2 linked regions of the Struthio camelus genome follow. The protein of the gene in region 2 interacts with the protein of the main gene of each other region in a biochemical or structural test. Links are inferred from orthologs where the notes say so. Each region holds a gene or a part of one and is shown on either strand. Other genes may lie near its edges. The genes, in order: SH2D1A and CD244.

Region 1 (9,370 bases), on a different chromosome or scaffold from region 2:
GCAACAGTTAACTATATGTTGTCTTTATGGGCCCTAAAACAGAAAATAAGATTTTACTCAAGCTAAACCTTTGTTCTAGAATCCCTTCTTTTGTGGTTAATCTGACAATTTAGAGGTAAATCTGACAAATTTATACCTAGACAGGTACCAGAACAGCTTTAGCTGTGTCCGCGAGCTGAATCCCACAAGGTCCTGCACTGCTCGGGTGGGTTTCTGTGTCCTTTGGTGAGGGTGAGAGGTGGGATGGGTCTCCCGTTTCAGAGCTGATCTTGCACACACTGCCTTCTGGCGATGCACTGGCTGCTCTGTGGGAAGCCGCTGCTGCTCCTAATTAAATAGCACATACCCATTTCTGCTCATCAGCCTGACAGCGGAAAGCCCTTCTCCCTGCCTCAGGTGCTAGAGTTGCTGCTGGTATGAGACAACATAAATTGCAGCTTGAACGTGGCAGATCAGGAGCATGTTTATTGTCATTAGAAGGCTTTAAAATCACTTTAGAATTGAAAGGAAAAAAAATCTACCATAAAAGATCTGGCTATGGCTGTAAAAGGGTGAAAACACGTGGCCAAGCAAAGAGGAACTCAACACAAGGTTGCTCTGGGACTACTTGTGATGCTCGACCATCATGCGGGCCCTTGGGAAGAGAGGCATAGGCTGGCACCACTCGGCAGTTGAGTTTTAAAGTGGTGTCAGATTAAGCAGCAAGGCTTTGAAATACTGCCTGTTCCTTGGACAAGTTTTAAGCATATTTCTGTAATGTAGGATCAAAGTATTTGAGGCCTGCAGACAGGATGAACTACTGAAACTTTAGACACTCTCCCCCTAGAAGGTTCTAAGATCTGAGCCATTAATAAATATTAATACATGAATAGTTTGTTACATGACCACAAAGTGAGTAGACTACACACATTTTCATATATATATATATATGTATATGCATCAGTTTTGTGAGTTACAATACCATTCAACAAGGGAGTGCCCAACTTTTCTGACATTGCTAAAGTTCAGTCTACCCTGAGGGCATTTCAGTTGCAAAGGCATCAAATAGTCATTGGGTAAAAAGTAAGTAAGTAATTTTTGGGGGGGAAAAAAGGAAAAAAAAAAAAAAAAAAGCAGAACTCAGGCTGCCTTTCTCCCAGGAACTGCCTAAACCTGCCAGAGTTTAGGTTGTCCCCTTCTCACACAAGGAACCTTATTCTTTTCTAATCTTATTTCTTCCTGTCTGTTACCATGGCTGAAAGGGGAGCATGGAAAATGCTCGTGCTTTGAGGAGCCCAGAGTCTGACGATGAGGGCGTTCTCCAAAGACAGGAGACGTGAAATTGAGTCCTCTCAGGCAGAAAAAAAGTGATTGCATCTGGGTGTCTCCCACCTTTGATAGTGATTATTGTGAGATCCCCTGGGATTATTGTGCCAAGGTAATGACACCAGTTTTTTCTTTCAGAAGAAAGCTATATCCTTTACTGTACTTCTACCCAATCTCTCTTGACGATGAATACTTTTTGACTTTTTTTCCACTTGATGGACGCTTAAGCATTTTCGAGCTGAAGCACAGACCAACATGCAGTGAACCCAAACGACCATTTGATTTGCCTTTCACAGAAACTTGGGAAGAGAAGGCAAAGTAGAAAACGTGCCGCAGGAAGGCGATGAAAATCTGGAGCAAAGACATTGACGTCAAGAGCTCTTTCAGCTGATGCAGAGAAACAAGAGAAACCTCTCCCCAGGGTGTACGGGTCAGCCTCTCATCGTGTCAGCACCGCTCACAGGAGTCCTCTCCAGCGGCACCGTGCCACCCGCTTTGCCTCATGCTCTGGGCTGGCCTCCAGCAGCCATTCGCCCTTAACAAGGATGGGAGCAGGGGAACTTGGGCGTTGGAGTGCACTAGGCTCCAAAAAACACATCCCAAGGAATAAACAATATTCCTGCTGAAGCAGCCTTGACCAGCACTGCAGGAAGGGCTGTGTTTTATGACAAAAACAGCAAGCAGAACAGAATAGTCAGGAAAGCCCATGAGACTTCAAGGGAGAGAAGTGACCCCATTATAATCCCAGGTCAAAACCCATCAGCCTCACACCCGCCTAACAGAGACTCAACAGTTCTGCTATAACAGAATCACAGAATCACAGAATCGTTTAGGTTGGCAGGGACCTCTGGAGATCATCTAGTCCAACCTCCCTGCTCAAGCAGGGTCACCTAGAGCATATTTCCCAGGATCACGTCCAGACAGCTTTTGAATATCTCCAGCGAAGGAGACTCCACCGCCTCTCTGGGCAACCTGTTCCAATGCTCTGTCACCCTCACAGTGAAGAAGTTTTTCCTCAGGTTCAGGTGGAACTTCCTGTGGTTCAGTTTCTGCCCGTTGCCTCTTGTCCTGTTGCTGGGCACCACGGAGAAGAGATTGGCCTCATCCTCTTGACACTCCCCCTTCAGATACTTGCACACGTTGATGAGATCCCCTCTCAGTCTTCTCTTCTCCAGGCTGAACAGGCCCAGCTCTTGCAGTCTTTCTTCAGAGGAGAGGTGCTCCAGCCCTCTAATCATCTTGGTAGCCCTCCGCTGGACTCTCTCCAGGAGTGCCATGTCTCTCTTGGACTGGGGAGCCCAGAACTGGGCACAGTACTCCAGGTGAGGCCTCACCAGGGCTGAGTAGAGGGGCAGGATCACCTCCCTCGACCTGCTGGCAACACTCTGCCTAATGCACCCCAGGAGACCATTGGCCTTCTTGGCCACAAGGGCACGCTGCTGGCTCATGTTTAACTTGTTGTCCACCAGCACTCCCAGGTCCTTCTCGGCAGAGCTACTTTCCAACAGGTCAACCCCCAGCCTGTACTGGTGCATGGGATTATTCCTGCCTAGGTGCAGGACCTTGCACTTGCCTTTGTTGAACTTCATGAGGTTCCTCTCCGCCCAGCTCTCCAGCCTGTCCAGGTCCCTCTGAATGGCAGCACAGTCTTCTGGTGTGTTAGCCTCTCCCCCCAGCTTAGTATCATCAGCAAACTTGCTGAACATTTCATTCTGAAACATTAGCCTCAGATAAAGGTATTTCTCAGTACGAATTGTGAAGTATTATTTCATGTTTAATTGCATTGATTTGCATTGGAAGCTTTAAACATCTGCCCAACGATTATCTTAAATTAATACGTCACCCAGAATACAATAAACCATTCTTGACGTCAGTGCCTACAAGGAGGTGATTCTCCTACATTAGAGGAACTGGAAGAAAATAAGAAAAATATCCTTAAAATGCCAGCATGTGTGTCCAGGCTGCTGCACTTAAACAGGGGGAAAATTACACAAGTAGAATTACCACTAAAGTAGAAAAAAGACTTTGGAGAGCAAAGATGCACATGGTGCTCATGCAGGGACGCACGTTCTTATGGTGGTGACCTCCAGCACCACCGTCCCAGCTGGCTCGCGGCCACGTGGCATTGTGGGCTGCCCCAGCCGGCAGCACAGCCCGAGCATGCCTTTTCCTCAGGGCTGAGCACCAAGTGCTGGGGGCACGGTGGGGCAGTGGCGGTGGTGGCTTGTTTTACTGCTGACAGCATTAAGACCTGCTGCGTTTCTGGGCTGTTGCTCCTCCTTCCATTGTATCCCGATGAAAACAACGTTTTCACTTACAAAGAGAACGTCAGCAAATATTTTTAATAACTAAACTTCATACTTTCCCTATCCTTGTTCTTAAAAAAAAAAAAAAAAGAAGAAGTCTAACCATTGAAAAACAAAAAAACAGCTAAAGGCATGGAAAATTTTGGATGAAGCAATTATGCTCTGATAAAGCTACAAGACACCATTATAAGCAGACAGCAACGCAAGGCAGCATTATAATGAGAATTGCTGAGCAATCATATTAATCAGCAGGGCTACCAGCTCGCCTCTTAGCAGCCGGGCCGTCTCGCAAAGGGGATGGCACATCGTGAATCCTCCGCAGAGACGCAGAGGAGATGAAAATGATGCGTGCCCTGGGCCCCCGAAATCCCCGCGAGGGGGAGAAGGCTGAAGCAAAGGAGAGCGATAACGGGATTTGAGTGTTCTGCGCTCCTTTGACAGCAAGGCGCTGCAGCGCATTTTATCTTTGTGAGGTCTTGCAGCAGTCGAGAGCTTTACAGCTCAAATCCCAGAGAGCAGACATTATATAATGCTTAGCTGGCAGCATCTTGCTGGATTTTACTACCACTGCAAAACTTCCCCCCGCACCGGTTTCAGCGCGATGGTCTTTATTTTGCCAAAAAGTGATTTTGAAACATACGCCGTGGTTTTCAGGGGCAGGATGAAAGAAGGCTCTGACTCACAGCGGTGTTCTCTGGTGGCGTTTCAAGGGTTGTCCTCCCAACGAGGAAAAGGTACGTCACCTCGTCGCAGCACGGCCCTGGCAGGAAGCACCTTGCCTGGAGGAACAACAGGAGCAAAGGGCCTCTCACCTCTTCGCCGCTGCCGTCGCCTGAGGAAGCGTTTAGACTAAGCCACCGACCCAGCAGCTCTCGAGGGTACTTGGCGGGAGCTGCTGCCCTTGCGCCGGTGAAGCAGGCCTGGCTGCGACTGGGGACGACTGCGGCTCCAAGGCTGGAGCCCACGTCCCCGCGCACGCGGCCTTTCCCCCTCTCCCAGGGAGCCCGTAGCCCTTTACGGTGCACAAATCACTTGATGCTTCTAGATTTCTATTTTACTGAGCTGTTCAGCCCAGGAAAACACACCGTTTCCCCGAAAGGCAGGTTGCAAAATAGAGCTGCGTTGCATAATGTAACTGGGGAAGCAAAGAAAAGGAACATCTTCCACCGGGCTGGGGCCTCCTTCCTTTCCCACAACACACATTTCAGCCCAGAGCCTTTCATATAAAATATCATCAAATAATTTACAGTAGATGTCAGCTGCAAGCTACAGCCAAAGAGAAGGTTTATTTAAGATACCATGTGGATTGTTGTACAAGATCCTGATGGATTATTTCTATCCGAGAATTTACAGATACTGCCGGAGTGTGGCCAACAATTTGGATTAGTTTAGATTAAACTCAGACTGGGTTGTTTCTTCTCCCTAAGGAAATCTCAGCTTTAGGTCTACTTTTTTTTTTTTTTAAAAGGAAAAATATAGACAAAAACAACTTTTATGCTTTCCAGCAGGTACCTACAGTGCTTCTTCCATCAATCACACCTTTGATATATGGAGGCAGAAGTGAGAGTTACTTCATTTAAAGCTCTCACACATAACTGGGTACATTTACATATTAATCAGACAGCTGAGATGCTAATCTCGCTATCTTATGGGCATCTGTAACCATTAGTCAAAGTCCGGGCGCCTGTTAAATACTCCGGGTGCCACAGAGCGCTCTGAAATCAAGATAAGCGCTGGTGACGAGAAAAGGCTCATATTTACAGTGCTCCTGCGGAGCGCGGGGCTGTTAGCTCTGCAAACACGAATATACGCAGATATCGAACCTCGAGAGCCTTCCCCCGGCACGAGCCTCAGGCAAGGCGACGCAATCCTACCTCGCTAAAGGGCTTAGCGCTTCCTCGGGAGGACGGTGTCTGCAGCTCAGTCTTCTCCAGGCTCTTCCCTGGCCTTTCCGCGGCACGGGGCACCCTCCGGCGCGGCACGCCGGGAGCGCCTGCCACGGCCCGGCGGGGCCGCGCGCTCGACGACCCGGCCCTTTCTGCTGGGCTAAGACCCGAGCCCGCGTTCCTCACCGCCTCGTGCTTCTGAAACACCGTTTCATGAGCCTGGCACGCGCGCCCAAGGTCAGGCGGCTCCCACAGCCCCTCGCCACCTTTTGTCTCTTTTTCTTTTCTTGTCATTTATTTATTTATTTAGTTATTTTGAAAATACAGGCTCATCAATACCAAAACTAGAAAACTCTGCAGTAACGTGCCACCCTTAACGAAACCCAGGCAGGAAATGTGGTAAAAGACGCTTGCACTAGTCTGAGCCAAGGGGCCAAGCGGGTACCGAGGTGCCGGAGCCTTTCCCCATTTCCCCAGGCCGAACAGAAATTGCTGCGTGGCCCCGTTCGAGGGGGAGGAACCAGCGTTTATTCCCTTTGCCGCAGCAAGGGAGGAAACCGAGGAGGAGAAGCAGCTTCCTCCCCGCGGGCCAGCGAGACGCCCCAGGGCCCAGGAGGCTGGCGGCTCCCGGCGGACACGGCCGGAGCAGCCCCGCGCAGGACGTTTTGCAGTTACATTTGGTGGGGAAGGAAAGCCACCTCCTCAGCTGCTCCCGTAACAGCTACCGAAGCGACCAGCTCGGGCTGGCTGCAGCGGAGAAGGTGCCGGCTCCAGTCGGAGCTGCTGCTCGCTGCGGCGCAGGCAACGCGCGGCAGGCGTCCCAGGCAACCGCACGCGAGCTGTTGCCTTTTTTATTTTTTTGGCTTTACCTGTTAACTTTCCGGGTTATAAGTTTGCGAATCAACAGGCTCAACGCCCCAGCTCCCCCCCTCAGCCACCTCGCAAACGGCTTGGGAGTCTGACTCGTATCAGACCGCCTCGCTCAACTACGTCCTCGCCCTCCGACGAGGGCGGGCGGCGTGGCGAGAGGAAACCCGGCGGGCAGAGGGCTCTGCGCGGTGCCCGGCTCCACGCCGCCTGCCCCTTCGCCTGCCCCGGGCCGCACGACCCCCGCCAGCCGCTGCCGGGTCGAACGCTGCACGTCAGTTACACACCGACAGCCACAGGCTGCAACAAAAAACATAAACATATAATAATTGCTCCTGCTGAGGAAGTCACCTGTGGTGCCGTTTCCTTTTTGCAGAACCGTCACAGTTTACGCTTCCTGAGCTTCAATTAAACAAAGGGAAAAATAGGGCGGGCGGCTGGGGCGGCGCCGCGCCACAACGCGCTGACGCGCCTTGGTTCGCGCTGCAGCTTTGTATTTGTTGCTTTCCCCGGGCTAAACGGGGGGCAAGCTCGGCGCTAACCCCCGCGGCGTCGGCGCGGCTTTCCCTCTCCCATGAGCGAGCGGCCGCGGCGGCGATGGCGGCGCGGTCCCGGCCCGGCTGCACAGGCGGCCGCGCAGCGGGCCACCCCGCCTGCCCCGGCCCCCGTCTTGCCGAAACGGGGAACCTGCTCGGCCCGGCAGCGTCGCCTGCTTGCAGCGCGTTTGCGAGTCACCCCTGCAACAGCAAGGACCGGCGCAGGCCGCCGCGGTTTTTCCAAGGGGGATGAGGGCCAGGAAGAGATTAAGGGGCGACGGAGTGGGAGAAGAGGGAGAATTCAAAGCTTTTACAAAAGAACGTGCCTTTTAGAAAGCAAGCGTCAGACTAAAATTAAAACCAAGCAGCAGGCCACGTAATTCCCAGCCCTGTGGCCAGGGAGAAGAGCAGGCTCAGTGGTAAGTCTCAGGCTCACAAGGAGGCTACTTTCAAAATATTCTTAAATATCGAATCATTAGGAAAGTCTTTTTTTTTTTTTTTTTTTTTAACAGGGAGGCACCTGAACGCCAAGCAGTGGCAGGCTGGGTTTAGGTTTTTCATTGGAGAGAGCGATTTAGGCACCTCCATCTCCCGCTGCAGGCCAAATAGCAAGACACGCAGTCGGAAGACCCTCCCCACCACAGGTTTCGGTCCCACTTCTTTGCCAAAACCTGGCTCTGTGTGCCCAAACCTCCCTCCTGCGCCCTGCCCGTGGTGCCGCCGAAGTGGGGGAGAGCCGGCGGCACGTGGTGGTATGTTCGTCCCCAGGCTCCCGTTCACAGCTGTTACCTCGCTGGGTGTTTCGCGCGGCGGCGAGCGTCTGCGCGCGGGAGAGGAGCCAGCAGAGCGCCGGGCGCCCGGCCGGGGACGTCGCCCGCGCACAGCAGCCAAGCGCTCCAGGAGACGCGCGAAGCGGCCAGATCCTGCTCAAGCGTCGAGAGCAAACAAAACTCGGTCCCGGGGAGCGACTGCTATCGTTACAAGGCTCTCGCCTGTAACGCCTGCATCGCCTCCGCTCCCGATCTCGCCGTCAGGCCACGGCGAACGGGATCCACTAACAGCCAAGACTGGCCAGCTTCATCTCCTAGAGCAATTCATTCAGGAAGTGCAAATAGAGTGAGATTTGCTGTTTGAAATGCCATCCGGTGGTTGAACGGATGTTGACATAGCCACGGCGTCCCCAGCCATTTACTCGTTCCCTGGCACGCGCTAAAGAGTAAAATTCACTCTCATTTAAACCACAGAGCGCTTATACAGCATTACAACAGGCAATGGCTCGTATACTCTTACCATACTCGCCGAACCCTTGCTCTTACCGTGATCACTAATCGAAGGTTTACCCAGTTTCCACGGCCTCTGTCATCACTGCCACTCACTCGTTTGAAACGCTTGTTTTAAAGTCACAATTCGTTAAGAGACCAGCTGGATTTCTCAAGCAAGATTTGATGCAGCTTGTATCTTGTTTGCCCAATGACTTGGTCACTTTGCTCTTAAGGCTGTGCAGGTCCTCTGGCCTCCCCGGGGCACAGGGCTGTGCACACAGCAGACAGGTTGTGGGGTGAGTGTCCTTAATGGATAAATCAACCTAGAAACACAAGACAAAGCGACTTCTTGGGTCACTGCAGCATCGCTCCGCTTCCGTCGAGGGTGCCACGACGCCGGGTTGGAAGGGAGGGCTTAGGCAGGGCCACCTGGCAGGAGGCAGCCCGCCAAGGCACTGCTTGGCTGGCCCAAAACCTGCAGGGAGAGCCCCAGGGCGGGAAGTCGGGCAGCCCGGCGTGGGGCTGCACACCCTGTTCTTGGCATTGGTTTTTAAAAATTAGCTGTGCAATTTGCTTTTGGCTTTTAGCGTTTACCTCTCCCAAGAGCACGTGAAAGATAAGCACAGCAAGAGTGGAACAGGGTAAAACCTCCAGCTTCTGTTGTTGCTAAACCACTGAAAGAAGGGCACGTTTCTCAAGCAAATGCCGAGAAGGACATCTTTGCTACTTCCTTCGGATGCCGCGATCTTACGCGTTGTTCTCGGGAACGGCTGGTTAAGCAGGGGAGGAACGCGCGGTTCTGTAAGAACATCCATTTCATATGTGAGCTATCAACAAATAAAAAAAATACACAAAGACTTTACACATGACATCCCAACTTTCTCAGGCAAACCCCTAGCCAGAAGTTTGGGCCTTTGCTGTGGTTCAGTCATTTGGCTCAAGCAGCGGAAACAAGCTGCCTGAAGACAAGCCTTGTTTCTGTCTTTGCTGCCTCACGGGAATAGGTTATACTGGCACCTTAGCATAAAACCCAAGTTCGCAACGAGCAGTCGCTGTGGTTTTATCGTGGGGTAAAGCAAGCGTGGTCGCCGGCAGACCAAAGGCTCGCTCTCGGTCCTGCTTGCCAGCCTCGCGGCAAGGCTCAGCACAACGCATCTCCACCGGGATCGTCCAGCGGGGAATTCACCTGCCTTTCCCACCCCACTCCG
Region 2 (8,866 bases):
GACTGCGAAGCAGAGCAAGAATATGCTTTTAGAGACGCTCCTGCTCGCCCGCCACGGTTTGCTGAGATCTGCAAAGGTTTCTACGGCTTGGCCATAAATCTATCCTGGAGGACTTCTTGGGAGTATCTGAGGACCCCACTGAGCACCTGTGTCCTACGGACATGGAGGCGACCAAGGTTTCCATGCCCTGGCGAAGGGCAGACCTGGCCCCAGGAGCTGCGGCAGGAGAAACTCACCCTCTTGCTGGGCTGCACCACGGAGTAGATCGTGTGGCTCTCGGGCTCCCGAGGGCAGCTGGGCCCCTGGCACAGGGAAAGTCAGGACATTTAAAGCAGCCAGCTCAGCCACAGACCTTTTGTGCCTCCCCAGCCCCGCAATGTGGGAGCTCACTCTGACCTTACCGGTGTTTTGGAGCAGATCGTGGTGTAGATGGTGTTTCCTACCCTGGCAGCCTCACTGCTCCCGTTCTGCAGGGGAAAATGGGCCCCAGCTTGGTTAAAGGATCCAGCTCGGAGCAGGGAAAAGACGTTTTTAGACAGCGGTGGGAGGCAGCACAGGGCAGGGGTGCCCAGAGGCCCCAGCACTCACGTGGTCACGGCTGCGCTGGGCATTGCCCACCTCCTCGTAGATGGTCAGCGGCTGCTCAGCATTTCCTGCTGGACCTTAAGCAATTAGAGCAAGAGGACTGCTGTTTTAGGGGCTCCAAACCCTGGGGGACTTGGCCCTTGGGAAACACTTGAGCAAAACAAATCAGATGGGAAGAGCGATCCTGATGGCAAATTGGAAGTTCTGTGTTGTCCCACATCAGCCCAAAAAGGAGAAGCAACCCCAGGACAGCTCCTCACCTCGCCTCCTCCGGCACCTCCAGGTGATGAGGGCTGCAGAGATGGCCAACACCAGTCCCAGGGCTGCAGCCAGCGCCCACCACAGCTCAGTGGGGAGCAACCCTGGGGAGAAACGAGGGCAGAAGAAATGGGGAAACCTTCGATATGGGGCAGAGCCCCTTCCAAAGCACGTTCTCCATCACACTGCCCCCAAATACCCTGCAGTGCGGGAAAGGGACCTGGCTGGTAAGAGCCAACAGCAGGGCTTGGGCAAGGGACTCTCTCCCTGGGTGTCCAAACCACACTGTGGGCAGGAAAAAACCCTTTGGCCAGGACCAAAATCCAGCCTTTCACACAGCCGAGGGCAAATCACCTGGGGGGCTGCACAGTGCTGCGACATCAGTGCTGGCCGTGGCCCAGCTCACAGCATTGCTGGCATTGCAGTGGTAGACGGTGTGGTTGGCGTCCTTTCGGAGCTGCAGCTGCAGGGAGGACTGGTGCCCCACGGCTCCGGCAGCGCTGGCACGGGACCAGCGGTAGGTGACGTTGTGGGTGCCGGGGACAGCACAGGCCAGCAAGAGGCTGCACAAGCTGTGCTCGCGGAGCACCACGCGCGCATCCAGCACCGGCTGGCCGACGGGCGCTGGAAGGACAGAGGCGGTGAGGGGGGCCGGGGCAACACCACGGTGGCAGCGCGGCCTCCAGACTACTCACCCAGCACTGACACACAGAAGCAGCTGGTAATCTCGAAGCTCGATGCGTTCTCAAAGTGTGCAGCGTAGACACCACTGTCTGCCTCCGTGACCAGGCTGATCTGCAGGGAGAGCGTCCCCCGATGGAAGATGGCTCGCTGGCTAAAACGACTAACTGGGGGCCGCTCTACGCTGCTGCTCTTAGCTGTCAGGATTCGGAGCCGCTCCCCTTTGTCCAGTCTCACTCTCCAGGTAATGCTTTCCCAGAGCAGTGATGGTTCCTCTGGCACCAGCCACAGCTCTCCTCCGACAGCTGCCACTATGTCCTTGCACCCTAGGGGTTCGCAAACAGTAGGAGAAAGAGCTGAGTGGGGGGATTAGGGAGCCAGGGCACCAGCAGAGGGTACACGGCCACCCGCTGTGGAGCAGGGCTGTGCCCCAGACCCGCAGGCTGGCTCCCCCGGTGCAGCCCCACACGCATCCCCCTGGGCAAGCTCAGCCCCACCATCTCTATCCCTTTTGTCCCATCCCAGGGGCACCCCTTGGCCCCAGAAAGGAGGTGGGGGCTTGCAACACCACTGGGAACAGGCTCCAGGCTCCTGCACAGTACCATCCCTAGCCAGTTGCTTATCTTTCACACCCTATCCTCTGCCCTCACAGTGCACGGATGTGCACGCAACATCCTCTCCTCCCTACCTGCCCCTTGCACTGCCCAGCTGTTGGGTTGCAGACCCTACAATAATACACTCAGGTGGCCCATTTGCACCCCAGCTCCTTCCCTACCAGCCCTGCCCAGGGAGGAGAGGGGCAGTTGCCTGCTGGACCACTGAGAAGCCATGAAGCCATGCTGAGCCTCCCCCACTTCTTTCACACCAGCCCCGGATGTCAAGGGCTCTGGCAGAGCTGAGATAAAAAACCCTTAAAATAAACCCAAGTGGCCACCCAGTCTGGGTGCGCACAGCCCTGTGGTTTTTCCTATCTGCACGCAGCTCCAAGTGAGCACCAGCCACCATGGGTGCCCAAGCTTTGCACAGCATGGCCACATACGCATGCATGCTGCGCATGCATGCTGCCTGTGCATGCCACCCATGCACACCCCCCCCGGCACAGCCCAGCTCATGCTGCCTCTCCAGGGAAAGCTCCAGCCTCCAGGAGCTCTGCTCAGCCCCAGCTTCCTGCAGCAGGCTGGGGCTTTGCACAGGAAAGAAGAAAGCCCAGAACAGGGCTCCCCCAGGAAAGGAAAGAGCTGGCCTAGCCCCCAGGAGCTGTTTATCGGCTTCTGGCCCTGATGGGTCACACCTGGGGCTGTTTCCCATCACTCCTGGCACCAGACTACCCTCGAGCAGGAGGAACTACAGCTGCTGCTTTTGGGGCTGTTTGGTGGTGTGAGCACCTTGAAGGCACTAGGAGCCGAGTCTCACTTGTTTAGTTGTCCTCCTCTCCCTTGGTAAATCCTCGCTTTCCTGGGGAACGCTCATCCTGGCTGTGCCTCCTCTAGCCTGGGCAGAGCCCTGGCCTCCTCTCTTTGCAAGAAGAGGAACCAAAGGGAAATTTGGAAGCAAAGCCTCAAAAGATATGTTATATCAGACGAATTTTATCCCAGCGCTCTTGGGGGATGTGTTGCCCCCAGGCGCTTGTGTGGCTCAGCAGGAGGCTCGACTGCCCTCTCCACCCTAGAAAACAGCTCAGGAGCACAAGTTTGTGGTGGAAAAAATCAAACCGGTCCTCCCTACAGGATGGGAAAGCAGGAGGGACAAAAGTAGCCCAGGTTTGTTGCACGGAGGCGATCATATGCTGGCTGGGGCTGGTCTCCAAGGTAGGAGTTTGCACCCTGTGAAGGGCCAAGCGTGGCGGCGAGCTGTGGCGCGTCCAGTGGGAGACCCCGGCCACCCGGCACCGTCAGCAAGGAGAGAGGCAGGTGCTGGGGCGTGGGCGTGCAAGTTCAGGGAAAAAATGACTCAAAATCTGCCCCGTGGTCCAAAGGTGTGATTGTAGCTCACTGTCTGCAGTTGGTACGAGCAGTGGGGCCGGTGCAGCACGGCTTAGGTTAACTGTGCCAGTCAGTGGGGAGGTTTTGCAGCTGGCGCTGAGCTGCCGGCCACTGCAGGCTCAGTCGCTCCAGCTTTGAGCTGAAATCACAGGCAAAAGGTGCTGAGTTTGTTCAGCAGAGAAAACTAGCTTTGAAAAGCTGCATTTCTGGGAAGGTCTGGACAGAATGCAGCTCTTGGGCGCTGCTCCAGGAGGAAGAAAGCTTATTTCGAGCAAACCCTGGGCCCTGCACCCAGCAGGCAGCAGCGCTGCCTGCAAAGGGGAACCAGCGCCCTGGGACAGTCTGGGCCATGTTTACCTGGCTGGGTGCAGAGAGACAGCGCGCCACAGGCCAAAAACCCTCCTCAGCACTAGCTTTGTTGTCCTGCGGCTGCTGCTTCCCACTGGGCATCCGTCCCTGTGAGCGCCTTGAGCCACCCAGCCAGCTCTGCCCACACGTCCCTGCTCCACTGCCCAGCCAGAGCCTCCCATCCTGGCTGCAGGGACAAGCCGGTTTGTCCCTGGTGCCGCAGTGAGCCCCGTTTTGCAGCCTAGCTCACGTGCATCATGCCCCTTCCTCCTCCTCACCTTCCCCAGCGGCGGCAAGCAGCATGAAGCAGAGCAGCACTTGCTGGGGCAGTGCTGGCTGGTGGCACCTGGCGCCTGGCAGCTCCATGCTCCACGCCGGCAGCGAGCAGGCTTCCTGCAGTGGGGCAGGCGGCGAGATGAGAAGCTCCTCCGAGACGGCGACAGTCCGTCAATAGCTTCCTCTGTCCCCTGTGGTTTCTGCGCACCCCTTGTGCTCATGCAACATCCTCCACGTGGTGGAACAAATGGTTTGGGGGGGAGGCTTGCGTTTTTGGGGGGGGGGGGCTGTTCCTTTACTGCTCAGCTTTGGGAGGAGGAGGAGTGATGCTCTCAAGGCTGCAGCAGGCTTTTATGATTTGTGAACCGCAGCTGCGTCAAGCATCCCAAAGTCAGGCCCCAAAAAAAGCCCTGCAGTGACCTGCATTTGTAGGCTTCCAAACAGCCCCAAAGTGGAAGTGACTTCCGAGCATCTCCCCTATGCCCATGGGGCTGCAGTGTCACCCTGCAAATGGGAAAGAGCTAGGACAACCCTATCACGGGATAAGGCTTAGCACAATTTGGCTCTTCAAAGCCCAGCGTCCCAGACAAAGCCCCCACGGGTAATGGGCGGATGCTGCACCCAGCCGGGGGTTTCTATAGCGCAGGACCTGCTCCTTGGTCAGCATCCCCCTGTGAGCTGCATCCCTCCGCTCTCCTCCTCCCCGTTGCCCAGATCTCCCTCACTCCTGCCCAGCTTTGCACATCCCAGGTGGAAAGGCTGGGGCAGGGGGGCTTTTGGAGCTGGAAGAGCATCTAACCCCGTGCAGTACTCCCCAAATCAGCATCTCCCCCGCTGGGGGGGCTGCACAGGGCCGGGCAGCCTCGGGGCTCCCAGGATCAGACCTCAGGCCAGCAGTATTCGCCCACAGCTGCATCATGTCTCACTGCAAGCTTATTCCCTTTCCTGTTCAGAGAACAGTTGCTCCCGCAGCACGGCGAGCTGTGTCCAGTCTCTGCACCGGGTGCTCGGGCTGGGCTGGGCTGGGCAGGGCAGCTCATTAGAAACTGCTTTTAAAAGCTTTTCTCAGGTAGCCTTTCTGGTGTGGTTTACTTTCTCATGCAAACTAGTACAAAGAGTTTGTTGCAGGGTCAGAAAAAGCCTCATGGCAAGGAGAAAAACCCCAAGCAGCCAAAGCTGAAACCAAACTCTGCTTTCTGAATGCTGGAAAGTTTCACTGCAATAGTTCAACTGGGCCATTAAGAAGGAGTAATTTTGAAAAAATATATATGTATATTTAAGAAAACGCTGCAAACCTGGGAAAAAGTATTCTGTTCATAACACTTTAACTTGCTCTAGGAGCCACGGGAGGGCTCCTGGAGGGTAGTGAGTGAGATCTAAGTTGAAGTTTCTTTTCCGCCTCTGGAAAACGTAATTCTCTTTATATTAGCCTTTGATTACAAAAATACTTTAGGAGAAAATAACTCAGAATTGTTATTTGGGAATAAGTATTTCCCACCAGCCCAGAGGGAAGGGGAAGGAGGAGGTGAGTTGCAAGGGGAACGTGTGCAAGCCGGTGAGCTGAGACATGGCTGTCAGGGCGCTGCCGGGGGGTGTTCAGCCCCTCACCGCAGCTTTGACTCTCTCCCTCTATACCTGGGATTTTGGGGCACAGTGCCACCGAAGGCCAGGCATCCCCCGAGTCCCTGCTGCCCCAGGAAGCCTCCTTCCCAGCAGGATGATCCTGCTGCGGAATAGTGAGGCTGAAGGAAGGAGGAGCGTGGAGGGCCAGCAGGAGTGCGCAGCCCGGCACGAGCCCCTGAGCTGATCCGCCACCGTCTGCTCCTGCCCTGCAATCCCCTCGACGCTGCTAATCACCTTAGGGGCTTGGCTCTAAGCCTATTGCCCTGTCATCTGCTCAGCCCTGCCTGGCAGCTCCCAGCTGGGAAATGGCCGCTTTGGGCTGGAGAAGCCCCTCCGGCAAGGGTGCAGTGGGGGAAACTGAGGAACGAAGCCAGGTTTCGCTCAGGAGCGGCTTGCTTTCTGGGCAGCAACCAGCCCCGACCAGGAGCTATTTCCAGCCTTTGCGGGAAGGGCTTTGCAGAGGGGCTCTGTAAATGGACAGAAAGGGAACAATTTCCCGTTAAAGTCTTCGGAAGATGCTGCAGCAGCAGTTGGGCTCTGGGTGAGCAGAGGGACGCAGGTCAGCTCCGTCCCTCCAGCAGCTGCTCTGTCAACACCAGAGCTGGTTTTCTGAGGCGAAGGGCGAGCAGAAACTAAAGCAGAAATGAGCAGAAACTGAACAGAAAGTATTCTCACTGAAATTCGTACTTGGGATGGGAATATATTCCCTGCCGCGTCCACCTCCTCAAGGGAGAAACCCCAGCGCATTACCTGCCCTGCGCCGACACATGAATTGCCCTGATTTCTCCCCTGGGGCGGAAAGACACACTAATTATTCGTCAGCAGTGCTGGTACCTCGTTGTTAATCGTTCACGTTTCAGGGTAGTTTCCCATCTACAATCACTCCCTTGTGTGCACCAGGGGAGAGGCCAGGCTTGGGCTCGGCGTTTCCCCATGGCGGCCGTTTCGGGGTGTCACGTGGCAGGATCCAGTGGTGATTTTGGTCTTGTGGCCAGCACTTGCCACGATATGGGGTGAAAAGCTGACGTTTGGGGTCCCCCTTGCAGAGCCCACAGACATGCTGCGGCCAGAGCGGGGGGAACAGCTTGGGCCCCTCCAGCAGTGGGGAACTGAGGCATGGTGCATCCCTGCGGAGCCGGCTGCAGCAGGTCCCAGTGGGACAGGGCTGTGCAGGCTCCTCTGGCCCCTTCCACCACTTGTGGGCAGAGGAGCAAAAACTCATTAAGGCTACAAAGGAAAAGCAGCACTTTGCAAGGTGGAAAACCTCCACTCAGAGCATGGGCTGAGCCGATTAATTAGCGCTTTTGTCCGCGGCTCAGTTCAACACACAGGGAACAATTTCCATTAAGGGGAGCTTCCCTCTGCCAGGCGCTCTTTCAGCTGCTGGCCCGGGGAGTGGAGCCATGGCAGAGGAGGGAAAGAAAAGGAGGGAGGAAGAAAACAGGAAGGGAATGAAAGGGAAGCGTTTGCCACGTTTCGCAGACCACACTGAGGAGGAAGGGAAGATGCTGCATGCTTGAAGCACCGCATTGCAGAGGCGAGGGTGTTTTTATTCAGCGCATCAGCTGTGCTTTCTCGTTCCCCTTCCAGCTAAATTTGGCCCCCAAGAGGTGAAAGCAAGGAGGGCTCCCGCGGGCCAGGGTTTCTGCACAGGCAGAGCTGCTCGTGTGGCGGCATGCTTGGCCCAGGGACACGTGGCCGCTTCCCCAGCTCCGACGCCTTCCCGGGGCCCTTCCTGACCTAGGGGCCGGGAAAATGGCCAGCGCATCTGAACCGCTCCTGCTCGGGCATCCCCCACGACCACCGCCGGGCCAGCTGGGAGCTGCTGGGAGTGGCGAAGGTGACGGCCGATGCACGCCAGGGAGCAGGCTCCCGCAAACTTGCACCACCCTTGCATGGGGCTTTCACCCCCAGGTCCAAGCCACCACCCTTCCCCTTTGCAAACAGCAAAAGCAAACGCAGGGATCTGGGTGCCTCCTGTTCGAATCCGCTTTCCGCAGGCCAAGCAATGAAACAGGCTGGTTGTGCAGCCCCTTCCCACCCCGTCCAGCATCCGCTTCAGTTCTTAACTGAGAGATTGGAGGCAAAATATCCTGCCAGCCCCGGAGCTCGGCTCTGCCCAAGAGGTGGCAGCATGCACCCACGCTCCGTCCCGGCCGGAGCTGTGCTGCCAGGGCCAGGGCCCAGCTTGGGCCTGGGTCTCCCCACCATAATGTCCCCCAGATCCCTCTAGTGCTGCACCCACCCCTGCACCAAGCACACGGCAGTGTCTGGGCTCAGTGCGGGACTTCTCTCCGGTGGGAACGTCATCGGTTGCGTGTTCATGGCCCCGAATCTGGCGCGAGATAATAATTGAACGTCTCATAAAAAATTATGTAGTTTATAATAAGTGAATTATTTACTGGTGACCCTGACTAAATGCTGCGTGGTATAAATTATTGAGTGGTAGATCCGTCAAAAAGTTCTCATAAATAAGTTATCTGGTGCCGTCTTAATGTTCCCAGTAAATTACTCATTCAATCTCCCATCTAAATGCTCTCCTGGGGAAATTACTCGCTCCTGCTGATTTATGAATTAGGACTGGGCAAATAAGGATGATTAGGAAGGGGAGCCCTGTTGGGACGCTGCTTCGGCGGGACGCCTCGCCCTGACACGCGGACGCCAGCACAGGGTGCTCACCTGCCAGCCAGGGGCCATGGGCAGGTTGTGCCTGCAACCCTCAGGCCAGTGGGGACAAGTTCAGGTGCCGCCACTATTTCCCTTTGCTGGAGGGACTCAGAGTGGCTCGCTGCGGCGGGATGGCGTTTACCTCCTGGCCGCCCTCTGTGGCCACCCCGGGTGGCTGTGGGCTTGTCACCTGTGTTTTATTGGCGGCCAAGTATTGCACGCTGTACTAGTTGTGTGTTTTATTGCCTCTATAATCACCACCCTGCAAACAGGCGTTGCCAGCTCCCCACCAAGTTAAATCCTCCCTTCCGAGGACTCCTGCAATTTGGCACCGTCCTGTGTTTCACCGGAGACATGTTACCAGCACTGTGACTCACCCGGGGACCAGGGCGGCTCTCGCCAGCCCGATTTCTTCCCCCTCGCAGACCCGCTGGGGACAAAGGGAG

Evidence for each region.
Region 1: the proteins of CD244 (region 2) and SH2D1A interact in a biophysical measurement, tested with the Homo sapiens proteins (2 studies listed by IntAct). The link is inferred for Struthio camelus from reciprocal best matches to the Homo sapiens genes CD244 and SH2D1A.

Annotation. Positions count from the first base shown.
Region 1 is NC_090952.1:10,914,469-10,923,838, forward strand, and holds the start of SH2D1A (SH2 domain-containing protein 1A), read right to left. Parts: upstream 4,406-9,370; 5' UTR 4,295-4,405; intron 1-4,294.
Region 2 is NC_090971.1:5,239,259-5,248,124, forward strand, and holds the start of CD244 (natural killer cell receptor 2B4), read right to left. Parts: upstream 4,324-8,866; 5' UTR 4,221-4,323; coding exon 4,133-4,220; intron 1,851-4,132; coding exon 1,539-1,850; intron 1,468-1,538; coding exon 1,198-1,467; intron 948-1,197; coding exon 846-947; intron 663-845; coding exon 589-662; intron 468-588; coding exon 402-467; intron 303-401; coding exon 237-302; intron 3-236; coding exon 1-2. UniProt on the Homo sapiens protein: Heterophilic receptor of the signaling lymphocytic activation molecule (SLAM) family; its ligand is CD48.